Notamacropus eugenii: one gene and its partner. The protein of the gene in region 1 interacts with the protein of each later gene in a biochemical or structural test. Links are inferred from orthologs where the notes say so. Each region holds a gene or a part of one and is shown on either strand. Other genes may lie near its edges.

The links. The genes of interacting proteins can lie anywhere in the genome.
Region 2: the proteins of SYTL4 (region 1) and RAB27A form a complex in vitro, tested with the Homo sapiens proteins (2 studies listed by BioGRID). The link is inferred for Notamacropus eugenii from reciprocal best matches to the Homo sapiens genes SYTL4 and RAB27A.

The regions. Positions count from the first base shown.
Region 1 is NC_092879.1:92,448,937-92,456,152, reverse strand, and holds the start of SYTL4 (synaptotagmin-like protein 4), read left to right. Parts: upstream 1-4,203; 5' UTR 4,204-4,391; intron 4,392-5,095; exon of another isoform or gene 5,096-5,100; 5' UTR 5,101-5,209; intron 5,210-6,206; 5' UTR 6,207-7,216. UniProt on the Homo sapiens protein: Modulates exocytosis of dense-core granules and secretion of hormones in the pancreas and the pituitary. Interacts with vesicles containing negatively charged phospholipids in a Ca(2+)-independent manner.
Region 2 is NC_092872.1:141,477,302-141,484,826, forward strand, and holds the start of RAB27A (ras-related protein Rab-27A), read left to right. Parts: upstream 1-4,520; 5' UTR 4,521-4,869; intron 4,870-7,525. UniProt on the Homo sapiens protein: Small GTPase which cycles between active GTP-bound and inactive GDP-bound states. In its active state, binds to a variety of effector proteins to regulate homeostasis of late endocytic pathway, including endosomal positioning, maturation and secretion.

The DNA of each region.
Region 1 (7,216 bases):
TGCATTTTCCTCTATTGAATCAAATATTTTCTTATAATCAATAATAAACATTTATATTATCCTTATGTTTCAAGCATTTGTCTGACTGGAGAGGTGACCTATTCTAGGACAGCTTTCGTGAAAGTTTACCTATCCCCTTCTCTTGTATTTTTTTCAAGACTATTCCTAGGATGGGTAGAGACTATTCTGTTGTTGTTTCCAACTCTTTGTGACCCTGTTTTGGGGTTTTCTTGGCAGAGATACTGGAGTGATTTGCTATTTCCTTCTCCAGCTCATTTTACAGATGAGGAAACTGAGGCAAAGAGGGGGAAGTGACTTGCCCAGGGTCACGCAGCTAGTGAATGTGTGAGGCCAGATCTGAACTCAGGAAGATGTCTTCCTGGCTCCAGGCCCAGCCCTCTAACAGCCTCAGTGGCCCTACTATCTCCGAAGGCTGAGTTATTTGGGAGGTTTTGAGCAGAAGCGGAAGAACAACCTTGATTACGGCTATGTAATTGCTGTAATTGTCATTAATGACTGTCATACTTAACAAGAATATGCAGAAGAATGGACATTGGAAATCTGTGTGTGTTTCTGACGGAGAAATGGGTAAAATTCCTAGATTATTTTTTTAGGTAATGAAACTGAGGCACGTCTGTGGAAGTTAGTTCTGGAACAGCAAAAGGGGAAAAGTTCTATAATAGCAAAAAACAAACAAAACAAAACACCTCCTCACATGCACACACACACACACACAATTAAACTAGGGAAATTTCTGTGAAATTTTAGAATGAAAAAACTTTGGAAGTCATCCCCACTGGTTGGTTCTCAACATCTGTTTCTAGACATCAGAAACAATCATTGTAGTAACTAATTGTAACTGGAGGACTGATTGAAAATGAAACGTTTCCTTCTCAGTAGAGATGTGGTGGATTACATGTGCAGAATATGGCTTACATCGTGAGACATGCCCAATATGTTGATTCGTTTTGCTTCACTGTAACTCTTTGTTACAAAGGAAGGTTGTTTTCAGAACTGAGTGAAGGAACTAAGACTCACTGGAAAGTGGCAAAGCAGAAAACCCTCCATCAATTTTATTTTACTTATTTTTGACATTTTTTTAAACTTTCAGTTCCAAATTTTCTCCCTCCCCCACCCAATGAGAAGGCAAACAATATTATATATTATACATGTGAAGTTCTGCAAAACATTTCCATTTTCGAAAAAAAAAAATCCCCGTGAAATTTAAAAAGAAAGGGAGAAATGTTTTTAAGGTCAATTTTTGCTTCCCATTTCTGTCTTTGGTCTTTCTGAACTCTTTCCCAAACTTCCTGTGTCCCCAGGCACTTTTCTCTCGTTGCTGAATTCTTCATTGCCTAAGAAACAACCGTTTGGAATTGGAGAACATTTTCTCCATGCTCACCCATGAAACACTGGGAACCAGAAGTAGACAGGGAAAGGGAAATGAGCATAGGTGCTCTGGCCCAGTGACAGACTCTGGGTCAGGGATCAGAAGCCCCAGCTTTGGGTCTCAGCTGGGTTATGGTACCTACAGGCTCTACATTTCCATTTCCTCGTCTCTTCAGTGGGTACACCGATCCCTGCACCACCTAGTCACCAGGGTTTCTGTGAGGCTAACATGAACTTCTAGGTCTGGACACACCTTTGGTAAAGGTAAAAAGGGCAGGGTAACAGCAGAAGAAGGCGTTTTCTCTGTCTCCTTCAATGGGCCTCTATCTAGGTGGAAGGAGGCAAGGCAGAATCTTTTGTATAGTGTAGGTGCTAGTAGATGGGCAGACTCAGGGCAAGCATGCTAGTCTGCCATGGAGGGGAGAGACCTCAGTTGGTTCGATAACTTCAGTTTCCTAAATATATCAGAAAATGGGAATCCTTGTATCTGTTTTCTCGATAGGGGAAAGGAAAGAGTGGATTCCTGGAGAGGGCTGGGCTGGGCACCCACAGTTTAGCATCTTTTTCTTGAAGGAAGTCAAGCATTTTCCCAGCCTGATTTACTGTTTTCTTTCTTGTTAAGATGTATATATGGAAACCTGCCCATTTGTAGGTATATGACAGGGCCAGAAGGACCCCATGCGAGTGGGGGGGGGGGGGGAGGGAGAGGGGATTCCTTTTTTGTTTCTCCACACCTGCAATTGCTTCTATTGTAGGAAGCTCCCTCTCTCTGTGCAGATCAGCCCAGTGTCTGTAACTGAGTCTTAATTAAGAAAATTACCTGGGGCATGGCGAGGGTAAGAGACCTGCTGACCGAGTGCATGTCAGCCACTGGGCAGAAGGCTCTTCCCTTTCGGTTATCTCTTGTTCAGGTCTATTCAAAACCAGACTTTCCTAGAGCGAGGGCTGTTAGATATTCTGGTGTCCTTACCCTGGACTTCCTGTCATCACAATGTGAGTATGAACACAAGACACATTTTGAAGGCAATTGTGAAGCATTTCATTCTGAGGGCTTTGTTTGGACACATTTTGATAAGCAAAACTCTTTCCTACTCAAGAAAGGGTCTTCTCCATTGGACTTAAGTCAGCGCTAATGGTTTTTCTTGTTGTTTCATTTGCACATCTCCGAAAGGTCCATTTGGCCTTTTGCAAATTGATACAACTCTCTATAAATGGCTATACCACCAAATCTGGACTATCATGTATTCTTTAACTTAGCAATGAGTCTAAATTTTGTAGCTCTCAACCAAAACAGGCCACTGAGTTCAGATATTCAGATATTTCTTTGCCTGCCTTGGGAGCCCAGACTAAGCCCTGAGCCACAGGAGCTCTCACCCCATTCTCCGTTATTCTCCATGATCTTAGCAGGGGCCCTTGTTGACCACTCAGGAGGGAGTTACACAGGCTAACCCTGCTTTAGGGTGCAAGGCTGCAAGACTGGCAAATGGTGCTTAGACTGAGGTAGACCATGCAGTGTTCATGGTGCCAGTGGTTCTCCAGTTCAGGAAAGGGCTAGTTTAGTGTGAAGAACCCAGCCTGCTTGTAATGAGTTTCAACATAGACTTTCAGGTCCTCCATTCCTAGAACACTTACGCTTGTGGCTGTGGTTGTCGGATTCCAGTATTAAAATGAGGGCTGGAGGAACCCACAAGTCTGTACCCAGGAGGTAGCACTCTGCATATGCTGGTCAGAGAGGAAGCTTAGTTGGAGTGAATTGTCAGGAATCCCACCTTTGACACTCACTGGCTGTGTGGCCCTGGGCAAGTCCCTATCATCTTTCCAAGTCTCATTCCTTTGTTATCAAGGGGAAATAGTAATACATCTGTAGTCCCCTCCTCCCTAGAGGTTGCTTTGGGATCTTAAGACATAAGGGTCCTCACTTTGATTGTTCCTGTATGGGGAGGTCTGTTTTTTTTGTTTACTAAATATCCCAGTTCTTTACCCAGAAGGCAGACCTACCAGGCCTGCTCCTGTGGTTTGTCAAGGCTGAAGAATGAATTGCTTCTGACTCCTTAGGGAGACTACAGGATGCTCTTTGAGTGTAGCCTGGGTTCTACAAGGCCTTCGCTCCTTGGCATTGAGGTATTCTGTTTGGTTTTGGTCGCTGTTGCCTGGCGTGTTTGTGTAGGGTGAGTAGGGGGACAAGTCTAGGGAGCAAGACTGGTCCCAGGCCTTGGGAGAAGAACATGGCCAAACAAAATCCTGCCTGGGCAGGTGGTGTCACAAATCCACCCATACTGAAGTGGAGCAGGGATCTCCTGGCCTGCTGCTGGGACAGTCTCCGAGGAGCAGGGCTGGGGGCTGGAGGGGGCTCACTGGCACGCTCTGGGGGAGCCCTAGGGCCTGCAGTGGCAGTGACTGTCCCCTGGATTGGGGGCTGGAAGAAGGGGCGAGGGCCTTGGCCCGACAGCTGGGAGCCTTGTGCCTCGGTAGGCAGCCGCATTTTAGACTGTCACTTGTTTGTCCTAGCAGACCGAGTGGGCACGTATCCCCAAAAGATGTATTCGATTCCCCGTCGAAGCCGGCGCACACACGGGCCACACCGGAACACGAACACACGGACACACACAGGCACACACGCCCTCATTAGAAATCCAGCCTGCCCGAGCCGTCGGGAGGGCAGGGCAAGGGCGGAGCCAGCTCGAAGCCGGGAGGGGGGAGGCCCGGGGCTTCTCCAATCGCGAGCCGGAGCGCGGGGGGTGGAGGTGGGGCCTCCCCGAGAGTTAAGGGGCGGAGTCACCGGCTCCCTTTAAATAAGCGGCCCCGCCCCGCTCCCTGGAAAGTCGTGTCCCTTTCCGCCTGCTTCGGTTGCGCGAGCCGAGCCACTGGCGGCTAGCGGTAGCCGGGACCTGGGCGAGAGACGGGACCCACAGAGATACAGAAACCGAGAGCCAGAGGGAAAGCCCGACCCGCTGATCTCCGGCCCCTGCCGAAGTCCCACCGCTCCCCGCATCTCCAGCCAGGTGATTCCGCGGCTCCTCCGCCCCACTCTCAGAGGCTCCATCCCGGCTTGGCCCCGGGCCCCTGCCCAGGCTGGCCTGCCCTCCCCTTCCGCTCCCGCTGCTCCCGGCTCAGCTCCGCTCTCTCCGCCCTTTTCCTCCGCTCGCCCTCGGGCTTGTTCCCTCCTGCCCCTTCTTTCTCCACCCTCTGTCCTTCCCACTCTTTTCTCCCCGGAGCTTTTGACTCCTTGGTCTCTCCACTCAAACCCGCCCCGACCGTCGGGGTCAGTTGGAAATCCAGCTGTGCCATTTAACCGGCTCTGAGTCCTTAGATAAGTCACTCCCTTTCCCCTGCCTCAGTTTCCTTGTCTGTACAATGAGGGAAGATTGGAGTAGGTGGCCTCTAAGGTCCCTTCCAGGTCTAGAGCTACAGTCCTGTGATGCTCACTCTGCCGGGAGGGAGCACCCCCTTGCCCCTTCCTGACTGGTGCCTTCCCGTTCCTAGACTTCCCCTGGCGCATTTTACTTCCCCCAGCTCCCTGTCCCTTTCCAAGTTTCCCTGCTTCAGCTCATCTTTCCCTCTTCCCCCTTCCGGGCTCTCTTGGGTGCTCTGGGCCCCACCCCTCAGGTCTCCTGTCAGAATACTGTCTCCCTGTGCGCTTTGAGGGGAAAGGGAGCATGAACCAGCATCCCACCTTGGCTGAGGGTAGCCTTTCCTTTCCCTTCAGCACAGATTGGCCTGAGGTTGTGCCTCGCAGATCCCCTCTGGATCGTTGGACCGTCAGGAGGACCTTAGAGGCTGATCTACGGCATCTCCTCTTCCTTCCCTTACCCCTGCCAAGGTAAAGTTCGGAGGCTTTTTGTGTAGCAGGATGGTCCAAGGCAGTGTCCGTTCCTCCTGGGGCTGAAGGTCTGCTGCTAAGAAATATTTAGGGAGAGGTCTGCAGGCTGGCTTGGAGGACTGAGGTCATTTTCCTTGGTCCTCCAGACCAGACAGTATAAGCCTGAAACATCACTCTGGGAAAAAGAGGCACAGAGCATTAACAGTCGTAACTGGGAGCGTTTTTAGCCACTGGGGGGGATTCCTTCCCGCCAAGGAAGGGCTAAATCCTCAGAACCCCAACCTACCCACCTAACCCAAGCACCACGAGATGCATTGGGAGATTCTTGGGAAAGATATGTTTTCCAATAGAAAAAGCTCCCAGACTTCTGTTGTTTAATGAGATGATTGCCTTTCATAGCATCTAGCCCTAGTTGAATAAATATGTGGGCTCAGTAAAACCAATTACGGTGACTTGAATAGCCTTTAAAAAAAAATCAGGTATCAGAAGAAGGAAAGATGGCATTAGCCCTGGTGTAGTAAATGTGGATTTGAGAGCCTGCTGATCTGGGGAAAGAGGGGCCAGACCTTTAATTTAATGAATGTACCCAACTCCCCATGAGAGGAAACTCTACTGTAGGCAGATGAGATGTGAGGGTGGGGCTCAGAGCACCTAAGGGAACCCTGAAGGGGGAAAGGGGAAAGATGAACTGAACCAGGGAACCTTGGAAAGAGAGAGGGGAGAAAAGCAAAATCCCCCTGCTCTGCCACTCAGAACCTTAGAGAGCTAACTGCCCAGGGTCACACAGCCAGTATATCTCCGAGGCAGTACTTGGACCCAGGTCTTCCAGATTCAAGGCTGGAAGTGGGGAACACTCAGAACCATCAGTCATGAAGAACATTTCATGCTCTGCTTCCTCCCCATCAGGAAGGAGGAAGGGGAAGAGATCTCATGCTTTGTCCTCTTCCATCAATGTGTCTCTTAACTTTGCTTTAACTGTTTTTTCTTTTGTTTCAAGTGAGTATTTATGGGAAGTGGGAATGGAAGTGGGGTTTATATCCCGGGATGACTTCATTGTATATGGAAAGCATCAATGAAATGACAAAAACCCAAACCTGAAGAAGGATCCAAGCTGCACGAAAGCCTCGTTCTTCTCTGAGGGCGTTGTTATGCTCCTGAGCAGGGTGATTTCCTATTAGACTATCAGCAGGACATTTGTCGGTCTTTTATGATATCTGGGTAAGCAAGATGAAGGAACAGTAGGTGGGATCTGTAATTATTTGGCACTCTATTGAAAAACTGGAGAGAAGTATTTAGTGGTGTGCCATCAGGCTCTGCCCTTTGCTCACTTCTGTTCAGTTTTATTAATGGCTTGGAGGAAGAAGAATAATCACAAAGTGTTTTGTAGGCTGTACTGTTTGTTACTCACAACAACCCAGTGAAGTAAGGAGGGAAACAAGCATTTAGTCAGTGCCTGTACTTTACAAATGTTATCTCATTTAGTCTTCACAGCAACCCTGGGAGGTAGGTGCCATTATGTCCCCAGTTTAGAGTTGAGGAAACTGAAGCAGATGGGTGAAATGACTCTCTCAGGTTCCCTTAGCCAGTAAATGTCTGAAGTTGGATTTGAGTTCAGGTCTTCCTGACTCCAGGCTTTCTCCACCATGCCACCTAACTGCCTTCTAAACAGTGCTCTTATTCTCCTCATTTTACAGATAAGGATGCTAGCGCTAGGAGGTGAGATGACTTTCCCAGAGTTGCACAGCTAAGATGGGATTTGAACTGTGGTGCTCTTGCCCCTAGGTCCAGCCTTCCAACTGCCTCTTCTGAAAATCAGGATTGCATTTTCTTTTTTTAAAATTAATTAATTTTATTTATTTTCAGTGTTCTACAATCACTACCATAAACCCAGATTTTTTTCCCCTCTCTCCCCCTCACCTCTCCCCTTCCTCCCTGAGAAGGCATACAACTTTATATAGGTTCTACACATACATTCCTGTTAAATACATTTTCACTATAGTCATGCTG
Region 2 (7,525 bases), on another chromosome or scaffold:
CAACTGCCTGGTACAGAAGCTTCCACACTTAGCTTGAAAAGATTCAGATGCATATGAACTGACCAGAAGCTTGTCATTGATCTAATTTCCTCCCCAACCTTCACCTTCTCTGTCTTCAGTCTGGTATAGTGGAAAGTACTAAGAGTTCGACTGGCAGATATAGTTGGACACCTGGTAGGTTCAAAGCAAAGCTTTGTATGCAGGAAAAGTGATACAGTACACATTATAATGAGTAGTAAAAATATGTAGCACTATCTTTCCATGTAACTCAACACTGATCCCCAAATCATAAACCAATTTGTATCAAAAAGTAGAGTAGGGAAAGAAAAGAGGAAAGCTATAATTCAAAAAATACTTAAAAAAATTAATTATCATTTACCCAATACCAGTTTTCAAGGCTTAGTATTTTGATAGCTTTTGTGCAACCTTTAAAATGCAAAGAACTGTTTTCCCTGCTGAATGAATATAGGAAATTAGTAAGGTCTAATTTCAGTTGTCTATAATGAGCATGTATAATTAAGATCTATAAATAATTATAAAAAATATACTACGATATGACTGGTCAACAAATATTCTGATTTCAAATCCTGGTTCAACTAGTACAATGCAGGAAAATGTCATATTTGAATAGTTGCTAGTGTTGCCTACATTGTAAATGATGACACCACTTACCTATAAAGCTGAAATGATTGTTTTGATAGAACTCCATATTACATGTTCTATATGCAGAAACTTCACAGAAAAGATTGTTTCAACTACATGTTTGTTATTGGGTTTAAATAAGAAGCTATTAAGGAAAAAGCAACTCTGAAAGTCTTCTCTGAAAAAAGAACAGTAGTATCTGCTTTAGTTCCATAGTCAGAATATGTCTCTAGGAGAAATTTATAGCATTGTTTGCATAAGTAATTATGCTAGATTGACAGAATATTAGTATATTCTGTCAGTCTAACTTATTGAGAATTGTAGAAATAACTTTTGGGTTGTTGCCTGGAGTTATTATCGAGAAATCACAGTTTACTTCTAAAGCCAAAATGGATGTTAGCTACAAATTGCATAAAAAACCATCAAAATTTTCATGGAAGTAAAACAGTCATCAATGCTTTGGTGCCAAAACACTAGATACCAAAAAAACCTGGGAACAAATGAGATGATAAATGGGAAGGTGTTACAAGAAGTAGAAAACTCTAGACAAATTGTTCCCAAGTTACAACTTTGGGTTGTATTCCAGTACTTGGTTGACACTCAGCTTTTTTTCTCATTTAGACTTTTACAAATTTTTAATAGATTCCTAGGCTAGCCCACAAAAGCCTCTTTAATAAGAAAAAAGTGACAAAGCAAGCCAAGACAGGGTCCCTGAGCTCTGTCTTTTTATTTATGTGGTATTTTAAATCTTATTTACCTTTCCTGTTGAGGGAACAGGAGGACCATCATGGCCATTTATCTACACCCTGTTTGATTAAGCTCTGGTTTAGAGACTAGGTCAAGGAACAGAGGTTCCTTTGCTATAATAAGACCAGTGCAGACTAGTTTACCAGCTCACCGTGGTGTTGGCCTATGACCCTCGGAGACTGTGCCCCTGCCCAGTCTCTAGTATCTTAGATCAGGGTTGGGGATTCAGTTAAAGAACTTTACTTGAGGACCTAGACGGGCACATATAGCCTCTAGGCCGCAGGTTCCCCACTGCTGCCTTGGGTAGCAACAGTGAAGTACATCCATGAAAACAGTTGTTGCTACCTGGTGGCTGGAGTTGATATTCTGTTCCATGGAGCACTGCCATGGCTGTTCACATGGAAGGGACCTTGTAAACCAGGGGTTTGTAAACTAAGGCATTGCTGCTTTATAAACACTAAATAACCATCAAACAGGGGATATGGAATAATTAATAAGAGATGAGTTGGGGCAGCTAGATTGAGCAGTGGCAGCAGAGAGGGCAACATGAGATGGAATACTAGGTGTATCTAAACTACACGTGTACTAAATGTAGCTAAACTTTTATTTTATCCCAAAAAGTGCAGTTCCAGATTGTTCTCCAAAGGGAGGAATTTATTCAGCATGGACACTTATACAAGGTAGAGACTAATTTCAGGCATATGGGGAGGAGGTACCTAAAATTTAAGAAAATTGCTAATAGTTGTACAAAAACTAGGCTTCCCTGTGAGAAAGTTCATTGCCAGTTATTGAATTTGAGTTAGGGCCATATGTTCACTTTGCCTTTTTACCTCTGTGGTTGAGCCTATGTGGTTGTGTTGTTAAGTAGGTGTGTATACAATGCAACCTGAAACACTAAAATAGTGCTGCTTGAACCAGCTTAAAATATAACTGGGAAATAGTTAACAAAGACAATAGGACAGTTAATATTTTTTTACATACTTGTCAGTCAATACACGGCCCACAGGGATCCTTACGTACAGTATAATAGTTTGATTCCACTGATGTAGAGTGTATCCAAAGCTGAACTAAATGACTGTTAACATACCTTCTAATTCTAGGAGTGAGGAGAGGATAGACAGAGGCCCCTGATTCACAGCTCCAGCGTTTGCTAGGAATTGGAAGAGATATCTCATTCTTCGCAATGCTTTCTGGTTCCTGGAAGGTACCAGAGTCCTGTCCTCGGAGCTTACAGTTTAATTGGGGAATGCAGATACACAAGCACTCATGAACTCAAAAGATAACTTAACAATATAGGGTAGTATATTGGTATTAGATGACTGATAACAGTTTTAGAGTACCTCCTTTTCTATTTCATTTTTAATAAACCAATGGTATTCACTCTCCCACTTCTAGTAATGACTACGGCCTCCCATATCCTAAAGACTTTGATTTTTTTAATGATTAAATTCAGTTAAACGATTTACTTAAATGTGCAAGTTACTGCATGGGTAGGGGGAGATGGTTCTTGTCCTCAAAGTGCTTATGTTCTAATGGAGGAAGACAATACATCGGAGACTGATGACTGGGGATGGTGTTTTGATTAGGGGAATCCCTAATCAATAGTCCTGAACTGGTTTCCATTGTTAGCAGTGGAAAGCAGAGATGGGCAAATGGTGCAAGGTGAAGGTATGGCGCATGAAGGTGGCTGTGGAGCAGCACTGTGCTGGGCCCAGGTCCAACTGGTCTCTCAGTCAGAAGCCCAGGATCTTATGATAGGAATTGGAAGGCCTAGTCAAATGTAGATAAGAAAAAGGAGAGTTCTGAAAGGTCAAGAGTAGGAAGTGTCTCTAGTTAGAACCCACACAATCCTGGAAGGCTGCTTAAGTTTTCTGAGAGCTTTCTAAGATTTACTTGCACCTGCAGACATGGTTCACTCAGTTACTAGCTGGGGTTGGCTTCCTGTACAACTTCTCAGCCCCTTTACTTAAACCTTCTGCAAAGGCAGTGTGGTTTGGGTTTGGATCCACCTCCCAGACATCCCAGACTTTCCTTCAGTTTACACCATTTCCCATGGAGGTGACTGTGGGAGAACCTGTGGTTTGGTCAGAGAATGAATCGTCAAGAATGGATTTATTCAAAATGCAGAGCCTCTGGGATATTCTTTGGTCTTTTCAGATGTCTTTATGTACTGGTGAAGGGCTTTCTCAGCAATAATTTACTAGTGGTGAGTGGTTTTATGAGCTGCAATCCAGCACCTACTGGTTTGATACCACCAGTACCAGCAATGAACAAGAGGGTGTCTTTGGATAGGAACCCAGCAGTCCAGCTGTTTCAATAATCACAGGGCTCAGGTTTAGAGAAACAAAACTGAAATAAGAGTGAAACACTGGGTGGCAGCAAAGGCTTACGGATTTCATCAAGTTGGTGCTGTCTCATTTTGTTATACAATCAGGCCATGCATCCTGTTTCTCTCACAGTTGAAGCTGCCTTTAAACTGACTTAGCCCACACCAGGAAGAACTACATTTAGGACCAGCGTGGTTGTGCTCATCTTTCTCTTCCTGACTTTTCTACGTCCTTTGCCACCTTTGACCCTTTCACAGCGGAATGCCATTGCCTCTCTTTTGCAAGAAGAAAAGGTCTTGAGTAATTTTGACAAAAGTCAGAAGTTTGAGACCATGAAAGAATGAGAGGGACGTCGCTATCCACTGTGCTTAGTGAGCATGTACGTTCTGAACGGAAATCCTAGGTGGGGACCCATAGGAGGTGACAGGCAAGGGGCTGTTCCCCAAAGACAGCCAGAGTCAGGGTTCAGGCCAGTCGCGCTCAGGCAGCAGGGTGTGACACACTGGGCCGTGCCGTTGGACAGTGGCTCTTGGGAAGGCACATGCAGGTTTAATCAGGAGTGATTACACAAAGTGCCCCAGTGCGACTCAAGTGGGTCATTGCATGTTCACATCCTTCCATCCTTCTGCGCACCTAAACGTACCCTCATTTCTCCTCAACCCAGCATTAACCCTTTCCTTCACCCCAGCTGGTCCTGCAGCCAAGGCCGGGAAGACCTTGACAAAGCCCAGGAATCCCAGCTCGGGGCTCCCCTCTTCCCACTGGCCCACCCCCTCCCCTCCCGAGCTCCAGCTGCGGGGCGGGGTCCTCTCTCTAGCCTCTCCTACTCTCCCCGCGGGGTACCAGGCAGCAGGTGCGGTGGCTCGGGGCTCCATCCATCCCTCCTTCCCCAAGAGGAGCCACCCAACTTCCCACCTGGGTAGAGGGGCCGAAGACCTCGGTGGGGAGGTACCCTGCGGGCCAGGAGGAGGAAGAGGGAGGTGTAGGAAAGAAAGGAGGACCCGCCCCCACCTCTCAGCTCCTTTACGGGAAGTGATGTGGGGCCGGACGGAACAGACCCGCCGGGGACCCAAAAAAGGGCAGGCGGCGGAGTGGGCGCTGAGCGCACTGAGCGTGGACCCGCAGCTGCTTCGGGCACGGGACCCGCGGACAGGTAAGGGCCAGGCGGGCGTCTCCTTAGAGATCCGCCCAGGGAGTGGGGCTGGGCGTCGGAGGCTGTGAGGGGCATCTGGCTGGTGCGCTTCCAGGGAGGCGGTGCCCATTTTTCACGGGTGACTGCGGATTGTGGTGGATAGTGCCATAGGATCCGCCAGTGTTCTGCCTTGGACTGGGGAGGTCGGACTAGGGGGGCATGGGGGTGGGCAAAGGTGCCCTGCTTCACCCCTAGACCCCAGCCCTGAGGCTTCCCGGGACTGAGCCTGGAGCTAAATCCCCAAGGACAGACCCTGAGGGATGACACCTTTTTAGGGGAGGCGATCTAGGGTCGGCCGGAAGACTAAGGCATGGATTCCAGATTGAGGAGCTTGGTTGGTGTGGCTGGAGACTTGGCTGGGTAGGGAAGATTGGAGGGCAGAACTTAAGACCTACCCTGGGCTATGTATCCAGATGTTGGGAAAGGAGAGAAGGAACTTAGAAATGTACAGGAAGGAAGAAGGAAAGCCCGGAGATTTGCTTTCTTCAAGACATCTTATTTTGCTTTTCATTTTATTTCTTTACCACCTGTAGAGCCCAGTTGGCGGAGTTTGGCCCTAGGCAAACCAGGGATCTCATTCTTTCAGTCAGCTTCCCTGCAACTGGGTTTATCCACACTTGGGCTTTGAGGTTGTGCAGATGTCTGGAATCATCTTTTAAGGCCAAAACACTTGTTCTGAGAATCCCAATAAGTCAGTGGTGTGTGTGTGTGTGTGTGTGTGTGTGTGTGTGTGTGTGTGTGTGTGTGTGTGTGTGTGTGTGTGTGTGTGTGTGTGTGTGTGTGTGTGTGTGTGCGCGTGTGTGTGCGCGTGTGTGTTCCAGAGTGTCACAGCTCTCCTCTCTCTGTTCGACTTGAAAGAGGAGGATGGTAGTGGGGATCTAAGCCCTTTGGTGGTTCATGGCCTGTTCAGTGGTCTCTCTTTCCATTACTATTCATATGCTGTGCTGTTCAGAGCATCAAGGTGCTTTTCATTGTGAATAAAATAAGAAGAATTAGATAAGAAATACTAGAGTGAACTTCTGTTGGCGGGTAGCAAGGTGTGTAGGAAAAAAAATCATATTTGGGATCAGGAGACTTGGACTCCAATCCCAACTCCCAAAACCACTTTATGTTTTTGGCCCTCAGTTCCCTCTCCTAAAACAAGGATACAGGATTTTTACTGATCTACTCGCAAGGTTCTTTTGAGGAAAGCACCTTATAAACACTAATGGAAAATTATTTTTTGTCTTACTCTTCCCCCTTTTTGTATGACATGTTCTCTTATTAAACTTTAGTTCCCTGGGAGAAAATGTCTATTCTATCTAAATTTTATTTTATCTTTCCCAGAAATATAATAGTGATCTGGTCAGTAGGAGCTTAATAAAGGTTTATTGAGCTGAATTAACCTTTCTCCCTTGGTCTCCCACTGTTCTTGCTCCTTGGCATCCTGGGAAACTTTAGGTTCTCAAACTTGTACCTTGCAAAACAAAATTCACCTCTGAAAACAGACCACTGGAACCAAGAGAAATTTTGCGTTTGGTTTGAAATTAGGAGTCATCGTTAATATTTAAGTAGCCAGAGCCTCAGCTTATAAACAAACAATGAGCTGATCTAAGTATGGAGACTAGGCTGTTTGCTTACAAAGCATGTCTTAGTTTAGTGGGAACAGCCTTCTTGTGCCCAGAAAACTTATAATGTATACAGAAGAAAAATATAAGACAGGGAAAATGGAGATCATGGTGTGTAGTTCCTTTTTTTTAAACCAACCCTTTTTTTGTAAACTAAGCAATCATCAACAAACACAAGTATTTCAACACATAAACATAAAAAGTTTTGTCCATTTTAAAAAGGATGACAGATACAGTCATGACTACTACCTACTTTCTTGATCCTCTACCTGGATCTCTACCAAAGGAGGGATAAGGGAAGAGGAAGAAAGGAAGGTATTTTTTTCTGGAGCGGTGGAGTTTGTCTGTGAGAGAGAATGACAAAAGTATGCACCTCTTCCCCTACAGTGACCAGATTGGGCAGGGTAGGCCAGAGCAGAGGAGGGTTGGACAGCTTTGTGTGCTCCAATGGATGCATCCTTCTATGTGGTGCTTGAATACTGGGCATGAAAAGATTAAACCTGCTCTTTACTGCCCATCGTCTCCATTTCTTCCTCAGTGGCAGTGAATCTTTTTGAAACATCAATCTTTATTTTTTACTCAGGATTTTGAAGCCAAGTTTCTTTTACGGTGTATAAGATGAACTCTTCTCTTCTGAACTCCTATAGCACTTCCTCTCTGCATCTCTCCTTGTTGGAATTTGTGGTTTTGAAGATAATCCTCTTTGTGATTTCACCTTATCAAGGAAGACAGATCATGTGTAGCCTCATGAAATGGGAGGGAAAGCTCCCCCATCCCACCCTTAACATAATGCGTTCTTTTTATTTATAATGAAAGAGACACTATCATAGGTTTGGTGCAGTAATACTGAAAAGACTAAAAGTTAAGACAATGTTTTAAGACTTGGGGCAGCTAGGTGGCTCAGTGGATAGGGTGCCTGACCTGAGTCAGGAAGACTTGAGTTCAAATTTGGCCTCAGACACACACTAGCTGCGTGATCCTGGGCAAATCACTTAACCCCGTTTGCCTCA